Oryzias latipes: one gene and its partner. Each later gene encodes a partner of the first gene's protein in a complex. Links are inferred from orthologs where the notes say so. Each region holds a gene or a part of one and is shown on either strand. Other genes may lie near its edges.

Evidence for each region. The genes of interacting proteins can lie anywhere in the genome.
Region 2: vps51 (region 1) and vps52 share a complex: the UniProt entries of both Homo sapiens proteins name them as parts of the endosome-associated retrograde protein (EARP) complex. The link is inferred for Oryzias latipes from reciprocal best matches to the Homo sapiens genes VPS51 and VPS52.

The regions. Positions count from the first base shown.
Region 1 is NC_019872.2:19,784,515-19,788,599, forward strand, and holds part of vps51 (vacuolar protein sorting-associated protein 51 homolog), read right to left. Parts: intron 1,749-4,085; coding exon 851-1,748; intron 751-850; coding exon 535-750; intron 435-534; coding exon 351-434; intron 259-350; coding exon 124-258; intron 1-123. UniProt on the Homo sapiens protein: Acts as a component of the GARP complex that is involved in retrograde transport from early and late endosomes to the trans-Golgi network (TGN).
Region 2 is NC_019869.2:3,222,140-3,226,744, reverse strand, and holds part of vps52 (vacuolar protein sorting-associated protein 52 homolog), read left to right. Parts: intron 1-447; coding exon 448-623; intron 624-1,712; coding exon 1,713-1,863; intron 1,864-2,200; coding exon 2,201-2,301; intron 2,302-2,434; coding exon 2,435-2,567; intron 2,568-2,639; coding exon 2,640-2,697; intron 2,698-2,788; coding exon 2,789-2,922; intron 2,923-3,710; coding exon 3,711-3,866; intron 3,867-3,949; coding exon 3,950-4,068; intron 4,069-4,605. UniProt on the Homo sapiens protein: Acts as a component of the GARP complex that is involved in retrograde transport from early and late endosomes to the trans-Golgi network (TGN).

The DNA.
Region 1 (4,085 bases):
TCAATAAAGAAATTGTCAGAAATGCAATTTTTGGCTTAATTTTTTTATATCCCTCCTCAGAAAAATGCCACAAGAAAATGTCAACAACACCATTTTTTTCGGACCTGGTCATTAAAGATTTACCTGAACATCGATGGAGGTCGCGTCCTCTACTACTCTCTTCATTACGGCACGAACATTTCGCGGCTCGATGGTGTTGACCCAGTCTCGTGTTTCCACACTCTTTCGTAACATTTGGGAGATGTTCAGACCCTGAACCTGCGCAAACAACAAGAAGAAATAAAATGGTTCTGTCGAGGCATTCGGTCGTCCTGTCCACTAAATGAAGACTGAGTTCTTGAGAACACAACCTTGACATAATGGTTTAGCAGTTTCTGCGCTGCCTCTCTGGCTTCTGTACACAAAATTGTGACAGGAGTTACAGGACTGTGGTGCTGAAAAAAAGGGAGACGAGAAAAAGAGATGAGTATTTTCCCTACACAAAACATCAACCATATTTTTTCCAGAGTATTTGCATCAAAGCAGTTTTAAAACCTGCACAAGGAACTGTTCGTCTGTAAGAGTCAGTATGTAGGAGATGGTAGAGGTTTCAAAATCCAAGCAGAGACGGGACAGAAGGAGGAGGAGCGCTGGGGGAGTGGAACCTCCTTTGTCACCTGCACTCTCACAAAACTGACGAGAGGACTGACACACAAACTTGATGAAGTTCACCACCAGACTCTCACGCACCCCCTGGCTGCAGAACTCCCCCTGGATGGAGGAACAGGAAATTACTGTTAATATATGAGAAAAGCGTAATGAAAAAACTTAAACTATACTTTATATTCCACTTTGAACATAAAATGATTACCTTGAAGTATGGTTTGTTTGAGAATGTGATGTCTTTAGCTGTGAATAGATGCACTGAAGCCAATACAGATTTAATCTGGTTGAGAATAGATGCCGACAGGATAGACAGCAGCTCCGGCAGACTGTTTGGAGCATCTCTGCTGGTGGCTCCTCCCCCTAGATGAGGCCCACCCCCTGACCCTGTCCCTCCGGCCACAGATAGGCGAGGCGCCGCCAGAGCCTGCCTCACATCCGTCAGACTGTCCATGTAGAAACTCTGCAGGGCAGCCAGGTACTGCTTCACCCGCTCCGTCGCTGCTCGGATCACGATTTCTGTGCCCTGGTTTGGGACGGTGGAGTTCGGCAGCAGTTTGGAAACAGCCTGGAGCCTGCGGTGGAAGCGGTCGAGTGCACGGACCAAGAGGGAGTTATCGCTGACTCCTTTCTCCTCTTGTATCCTCCTTTCCACCAGCGAGAAATACTGAGCAGCCAGATCGTCCACAAACACGTGCAGCTTCCGGTTTGCCATCTGAGGGATATTCTTGGATGCCAGTTCACCTGTCTGAGCGTGGTTGATGAACAATTCTTGATAGGAGGCAATAACTAAACACAAGCTGCTCACAAACTCATTGCAGCCTCGGTCTATAAACTCCAAGATGTCAGTGTTTGGAGTGGGAGAGGGAAGGGAGCTGGTTTTAGGGGAGGAGTCAGTCGGTGATCCTGCTGAAGACCTGCGTGCAGAAGCATCTTTCACAGCAGTGGGGTATGGTCGTATCTCCGCTTCCAGGCCCTGCAGGTCAGCCTCGAGTCGAGACCGAGCATGGCTCAGGAATTTGTCACAAAGTTCTTCTGCAGGCTCGTCCAATTGAAGGAGCAGCTCCACACACTCGGACAAATCCTTGGCACTCGTCCCTCCATCCCTGGAAAACAATCAAAAAACGAAGAAAATGCTGAAATGTTGGTGAAAAGGTTTTTTTTTTTTCATGTTTCTTAAAGATCAACTCTGATCATCTTTTTATCTATATTAAAAATGTTCTCAGGGTTTTTTAATTACGATTATAACGTTTTTAGCAGAAACTTTAAAAAACCTTTGTCGATTTCTAGGACATAGTTCCTGCAGAGCAGCAAATCTAGCCACAGGGGTTGCAAGCCAGTTGCCTCTGTGCCGGTCCCAAGCCCGGATAAATAGAGAGGGTTGCGTCAGGAAGGGCATCCGGCGTAAAAATTGCCAAAATAACCATGCGAATCATCCACAACACTTTAGACATACCGGATCGGTCGAGGCCCGGGTTAACAACGACCGCCACCGATGCTGTTAACCTACAGGGTGTCGGTGGAAATTTGACTACTGTTGGTCGAAGAAAGAGGGGAGGCAGAAGGGTCCGTGGCCAGAGAGAGAAGGGAAAAGGCAGGAACATAGGTTTGAGAATAGGGACTCTTAACGTTGGCACAATGACAGGGAAAGGCAGAGAGCTGGCAGACATGATGGAGAGAAGGAAGGTAGATGTACTGTGTGTGCAGGAGACAAGGTGGAAGGGCAGCAAGGCACGTAGTATTGGAGGAGGATACAAACTGTTCTATCATGGTGTTGATAGGAAGAGAAACGGGGTAGGAGTGATCCTGAAGGGGGAGTTTGTAAACAGTGTTCTAGAGGTGAAAAGAGTCTCAGACAGGATGATGAGCCTAAAGTTAGAAATTGAAGGGGTGATGGTGAATGTAGTAGTGGGTATGCGCCACAGGTTGGCTGTGAGTTAGAAGTGAAGGAGAGATTCTGGAGTGAGCTGGATGAGGTCATAGAAAGTTTCCCCAGAGGAGAGAGAGTTGTTATTGGAGCAGACTTTAATGGGCATGTTGGTGAGGGCAACAGAGGTGATGAGGAGGTGATGGGCAGGTTTGGTGTGAAGGAAAGGAATCTGGAGGGACAGATGGTGGTGGACTTTGCAAAGAGGATAGAAATGGCTATAGTCAACACTTACTTCCAGAAGAGAGAGGAACATAGAGTGACATACAGAAGTGGAGGTAGGAGTACCCAGGTGGACTACATCCTATGTAGACGAGGTCATTTGAGAGAGATTAATGACTGCAAAGTGGTGGTAGGAGAGAGTGTAGCCAGACAGCACCGCATGGTGGTGTGTAAGATGACTCTGGAGGTCAGGAAGAAAAAGAGAGGGAAAACAGAAAAGAAGACCAAGTGGTGGAAGCTACAGAATGAAGAAACTTGTGAGAAATTTAGGCAGAAGTTGAGGCAGGTCCTGGGTGGTCAGGATGAGCTTCCAGATGACTGGGAAACTACAGCAGAGATTATCAGGGAAACAGGTAGGAAGGTGCTAGGTGTGTCATCTGGAAAGAGGAAAGACGGTAAAGAGACTTGGTGGTGGAATGAGGAAGTACAGGAATGCGTCCAGAGGAAGAGGTTGGCTAAAAGGAAGTGGGATGTAGAAAGGACTGAGGAAGATAGACAGGAGTACAAGGAAGCGCAGCGTAGAGTGAAGAGAGAGGTGGCAAAGGCCAAACAGAAAGCTTACGATGAGCTATATGACAGGTTAGACACAAAGGAAGGAGAGAAGGACTTGTACAGGCTAGCCAGACAGAGAGACAGAGATGGGAAGGACGTGCAACAGATAAGGGTGATTAAGGACAGAGATGGAAAGGTGCTAACAACCCAGGAGAGTGTACAGAAAAGATGGAAGGAGTATTTTGAGGAGCTGATGAACGTGGAAAATGACAGGGAAAGAAGGGAGGAAGATGTGGTTGTTGTGGAGCAGGAAGTAGCAGAGATTGGAAAGGATGAGGTTAGGAAGGCTCTGAAAAGGATGAAGAGCGGAAAGGCCGTTGGTCCTGATGACCTACCTGTGGAGGTATGGAAGTGCTTAGGAGAGACAGCAGTGGAATTTCTAACGAGGTTGTTCAATAGGATTTTAAAGAGTGAGAAGATGCCTGAGGAATGGAGGAGAAGCGTTCTGGTTCCGATCTTTAAGAACAAGGGTGACACGCAGAACTGCAGCAACTATAGAGGAATAAAGTTGATGAGCCACACAATGAAGCTGTGGGAAAGAGTAGTGGAAGCCGGGCTTAGGAAGAAGGTGGAGATTTGTGAGCAGCAGTATGGTTTCATGCCCCGTAAGAGCACCACTGATGCCATTTTTGCTTTGAGAATGTTGATGGAAAAGTACAGAGAAGGTCAGAAGGAGCTGCATTGTGTGTTCGTAGATTTAGAGAAGGCGTATGACAGGGTGCCGAGGGAGGAGCTGTGGTAC
Region 2 (4,605 bases), on another chromosome or scaffold:
GAAATGAGTAAAGGACAGAAAGATTCACTCATTCATTTGTAAATCTATTTAAGGTACATCTACACACAGTTTTATTCATAATTATGGTTATTTATTTTAACCATTTTATACTTTTTTATTTTAATCTTAGCTCTCTAATGAAGAAAGAAACCTATCCAAACTCTGACATAGAAGTAAATTTGACAAATTATAGGTTTTAACTCTAAAGCTGAATGCCAATTTTTTTGGGGGGGGTTATAGTTCAATATTTTTTATACTTTTTGAGACAATTCAAAGTGCTTTACATAGAATAAAAGAAACTTTGTAAGCATTCAGATGAAACGTTAAAATGAACAACCTTATACTCTCAGGATGTTGGAAATTATCTTGAAAACTGCCTCATCCTGTTTCAACAACAAAGTAAGTACGATTCCAAACTAAAGCAGATGTCTCTCCGCCTTCTTTCAGCGCATGGAGGGCATGCTGAGTGGCTTCCAGAGCGACCTGTCGTCCATCAGCAGCGAGATCCAGACCCTGCAGCAGCAGTCTGTCAGCATGAACATCCGGCTGAAGAACAGGCAGGCCGTCCGCAGCCACCTCAGCCAGCTGGTGGACGAGCTGGTGGTGCCCGGAGCCATGATCTCGTACGTCTGAACCGCCAAAATACCTACACACGCAGTCACGCACTGCAAACCATTAAGACACATTTACACTGCATGGTCCAAGTGACCCAATTCCGATTTTTTTTTCCTCTCATGTGGCACAGATCGGATATGACCGGTGACCGTGTAAGCAGGAAAACGCCTCATTCATATGTGGAAATAAATCGGATACGAATCGGATACGTGCATTTGCGTGTGCCATGTAAGCAGACAAATCAGATATTCCCCAGTAAATGCGAGTCGGACGTCAGTGACATCAACTCAGGACACCACCAACTGAGATCACATGACTTATTAAGGTGCTTTTGTGCGCTGATGTTGCTGTTCGAGGACAGCTGGAGCCCCATCAGCCTGTTACCTTTCAGCCTCAGGCTTCAGACAGTAGTCGGAAACCGCTGTTATTTTCCGTCCGGTCCCGGTCGGGACGCAAACGGTAACTAATGAAGCGGGACACCGTTGCTCTGGAACAGGCTAGAAGCCGTTTATTTCTTTGCTTGGATCAAACTGTTAGTTCAGCACAACGTCTGCAAACACTTCCTGATTCAAAACTCAGTGAGAGCATCTAAAAGCCGGCCGAGCAGCCCTCCTTTTTCCTCTCCCGCGCCGTATCCCCTCTCCCGCCTCATCCAGGAGCGCCCAAGGCAACGCCTCCTTCCGTCGCTGCGTTGCCTCCATGACAACCGCAGTCACACAAAAGTCCGAAGGAGGTCCGCGGAAGGCGGAAATGCTGCTACGTAGTCCTCAGAACGTCTACGTTTGATAGTTTCAGCATTGTATAGTGTAAATGCAAAAATCGGATACGGGTCACTTTTAAAAGGTGATGTAATCGGGCCGTCAAAAAAATCGGATATAGTCAGAAAATCGGATTTGGGCATCAAGACCTGCAGTGTAAATGCAGCCTTAGACACATTTTACCACTAAAAACCAGAGTCATTCTTAGTGGAATTCTCCTGCCACAAAAATGACCTTCCTAACCTCTGCGTGTTTGTTTTTTACTGCATAAATGTAGAGTGTGTGGTTGTAAATCCTCATGTGGAAAAAGTGAAGGACTGACGCCTTGTTCTGTCACAGCACCATCCTGGACAGTCCAGTGACCGAGCAGGAGTTTTTGGAGCAGCTCCACGAGCTCAACAGCAAAATCAACTTTGCAAAGGAGCTGAGCTTCAGAGAGACTCTGGCCTGCTCAGACATCCAGGACATCGTCGACCGGCTCAAGATCAAGGTGAGAAGCAGAGGCGCAGATAAAGATCTGTGAGGGTTTTTTTTTTTATTCATTCTGCAGAAAAATTATGGGTTAAAGTCTGGAAAAACGATCAGAAAGAGTTGTAGACAGAGGCCATTCCTGACGCTTTGACAGTTAAATGAGATAGAACTTTAAAAAGTTAAGTCCTAAGTCTCTTTTTGCCAGAAAAAAAGTAGAAACACAACATAGTCTCTTTGCAAATCAACTTTTCTGTTGTTGGCTGACATCTAATAATGCCACATGTTAGGTTCTTTGTACCCAAACTGCAACGTGATGAATTTAAACGGTTTTAATATTCTGTGGATCTCCTCTTTAGGCAGTTTCAAAGATCAGAGAGTTCATTCTGCAGAAGATTTACTCCTTCAGGAAACCGATGACAAACTACCAGATTCCACAGAACACCTTGTTAAAATACAGGTGAGGACGTCCTTAAAGGATGACACATAAAGTTTCAGAGTTTCCTCATTTATTGCCATGTTTTTACACTAAAGTCCCTGTTGTTGGAAAATGGATTTCCGATCTTTCTGACTTTTACACTTTCTTCCTGTAGATTTTTCTATCAGTTTCTTCTGGCCAATGAGAGAACGGTAGCAAAGGAGGTCAGAGATGAGTACGTGGACACCATGAGCAAAATCTACTACAGTTACTTCAAGTCATACAGCGGCAGGCTGTTGAAAGTGCAGGTCAGTGGAACAAATCTTTATAAAAAACACAACAATCTGTGTTTGATCTAATTGTTGTCGTGGATGCTGCAGTATGAAGAAGTGGCAGATAAAGACGACCTGATGGGAGTGGAAGATACAGCCAAGAAAGATATCCTTTTCTCTCTGACCTTGTGGGAATCCTTCAGTGAATCCTTCAGTGCTTTTGTTTTCCTGCGCTTCTCCTTAACGCCCAGCTGCACGATTTTTCTCCAAACCGTCCCTGAAGAGTCGGAATACCATCTTCACTGTGGGCCAGCGGGGGGCCATACTGAGCCCCGCTGAGCTGGAGGGGCCCATCTTGGTTCCACACACAGCTCAGAGAGGAGACAGCAGGGTGAGAGAGAGAAAGAAAGAATTTGAACGGGTCTCATTAAATTTAAGCTTTCTTTTTAATAAAGATGTGACACATATATATCTGAAGGAAAGGTTTCATGCTGAGCACAACACAAATCTGTCAATCGTCAGGCTTATACTTTTTTTTTAACAGATTTCTTTTAAAATAACTAGGATTGATTTTAAAGTTTCTTTTATTTGTTTACAAATGTTTTCGAGGTCCTCTTAGTAATTCCTTAAAGTTAGAACCAAACCTTCATTCATGGCCGACCCCACCTGTGGATCTCTTTGTACTCTTTAACCATTTTTTAAAATCATGTCTCTGGATTTTGTGACTATCTTTTTTTACTTTTACAATAAGGTCTAGTTATTGCTTTATTAGTTTTGTGATGTACTTTTGTGTTTTTGGTTTTAGCTCCAGAGCTCCTCCACACGGCGACTAACCCAGGGGTCACCTCAGCGCCGCGGGTCGGGTTTCAGGGCGTATCCCACGGTGATGATCTCTGTGATCATGACTGGGTTGGTCGCTGACGTGGACGGATCCCCAAAATAGAATTTCCTCACTTCCACTTTGGTTTCTATTTCTATTAATGCTCCTAAGTTTTATTTTATATTTGGGAGATTTTATTTGTTTTAAGTCTGATACTTTTGTAGCACTTTATAAATAAAGTTTGGTTTGTCTTTTTTTGTTTTTAAAGAAACAAACCTTTGCATCAAAAGGTTTTCTGTTATAAAAAAGGTCGTCCTTATATAACCCTTTTTAAATTTAGTTCTTTCTGTGTCCGCCAGTATCCCTATGAGACGCTGTTTCGCAGCCAGCACTACGCTCTGCTGGACAACGGCTGCAGAGAATTCCTCTTCCTGTGCGACTTCTTCATGGTCGCTGGAAACTCCGCCCTCGACCTGTTCAACAGCATCATGGGGAAAACTCTCAGCATGTTTCTGGTAGAGTAACCCTAGAGTCCTCATGGCAAGAGGCAAGAGGAGTCCCACATGACATAAAAGGTTCCCTCTGCCTCCTCCTGTAGAAAAGCATGTCCACCTACGTGTCGGACTGCTACGACAGCATCGCCATCTTCCTCTGCATCCACATCATCCTCCGGTTCCGCGCCATCACGGCCAAGAGGAACATCCCCGCCCTCGACAAGTCAGCCGCTCTCTGACGGAGGCCAAATTCTTACCTTCACATTTGATTTACACTTGGATCCATGTTCATGGTTGAACAGCATATTCTGTTTGTGTCAGCACAGGTTGTTGAGTTCTGATATTTTAAGGATTTAAATGAAGGAAATAAAATGTAGACAATTAGCAGAGATTTTATTAGGAGAAAGTAAACCAGAGGTTGCTTTAAAAAAACAAAAAAAAGAAGCAGATTTATGCTTCCAGTAAAGAGCGTTAACAGTCTAACAGAAAGAAGCTCAGTAGGTTTTAGGAAGCTGATTGTATCACTTTGTCAGTCTTGTAGTGTCGGTTTTGCTCTTGGCAGTATGTTTAAAAAAAAAAAATAGAACTATAAACTGACCCCGATTGATAATTTGTTGTCTGTATTTCCTTTTTATGGATGTATACTTAAAAAAGACAACATTTATTTATTGATTAATTGAGCAAAATCAACTTGTAAAGTTGAAATGTTATTGTTTTCCAAGTTTGTGATGTCATGTCTCCCTGTTTCATAATCTCTGCA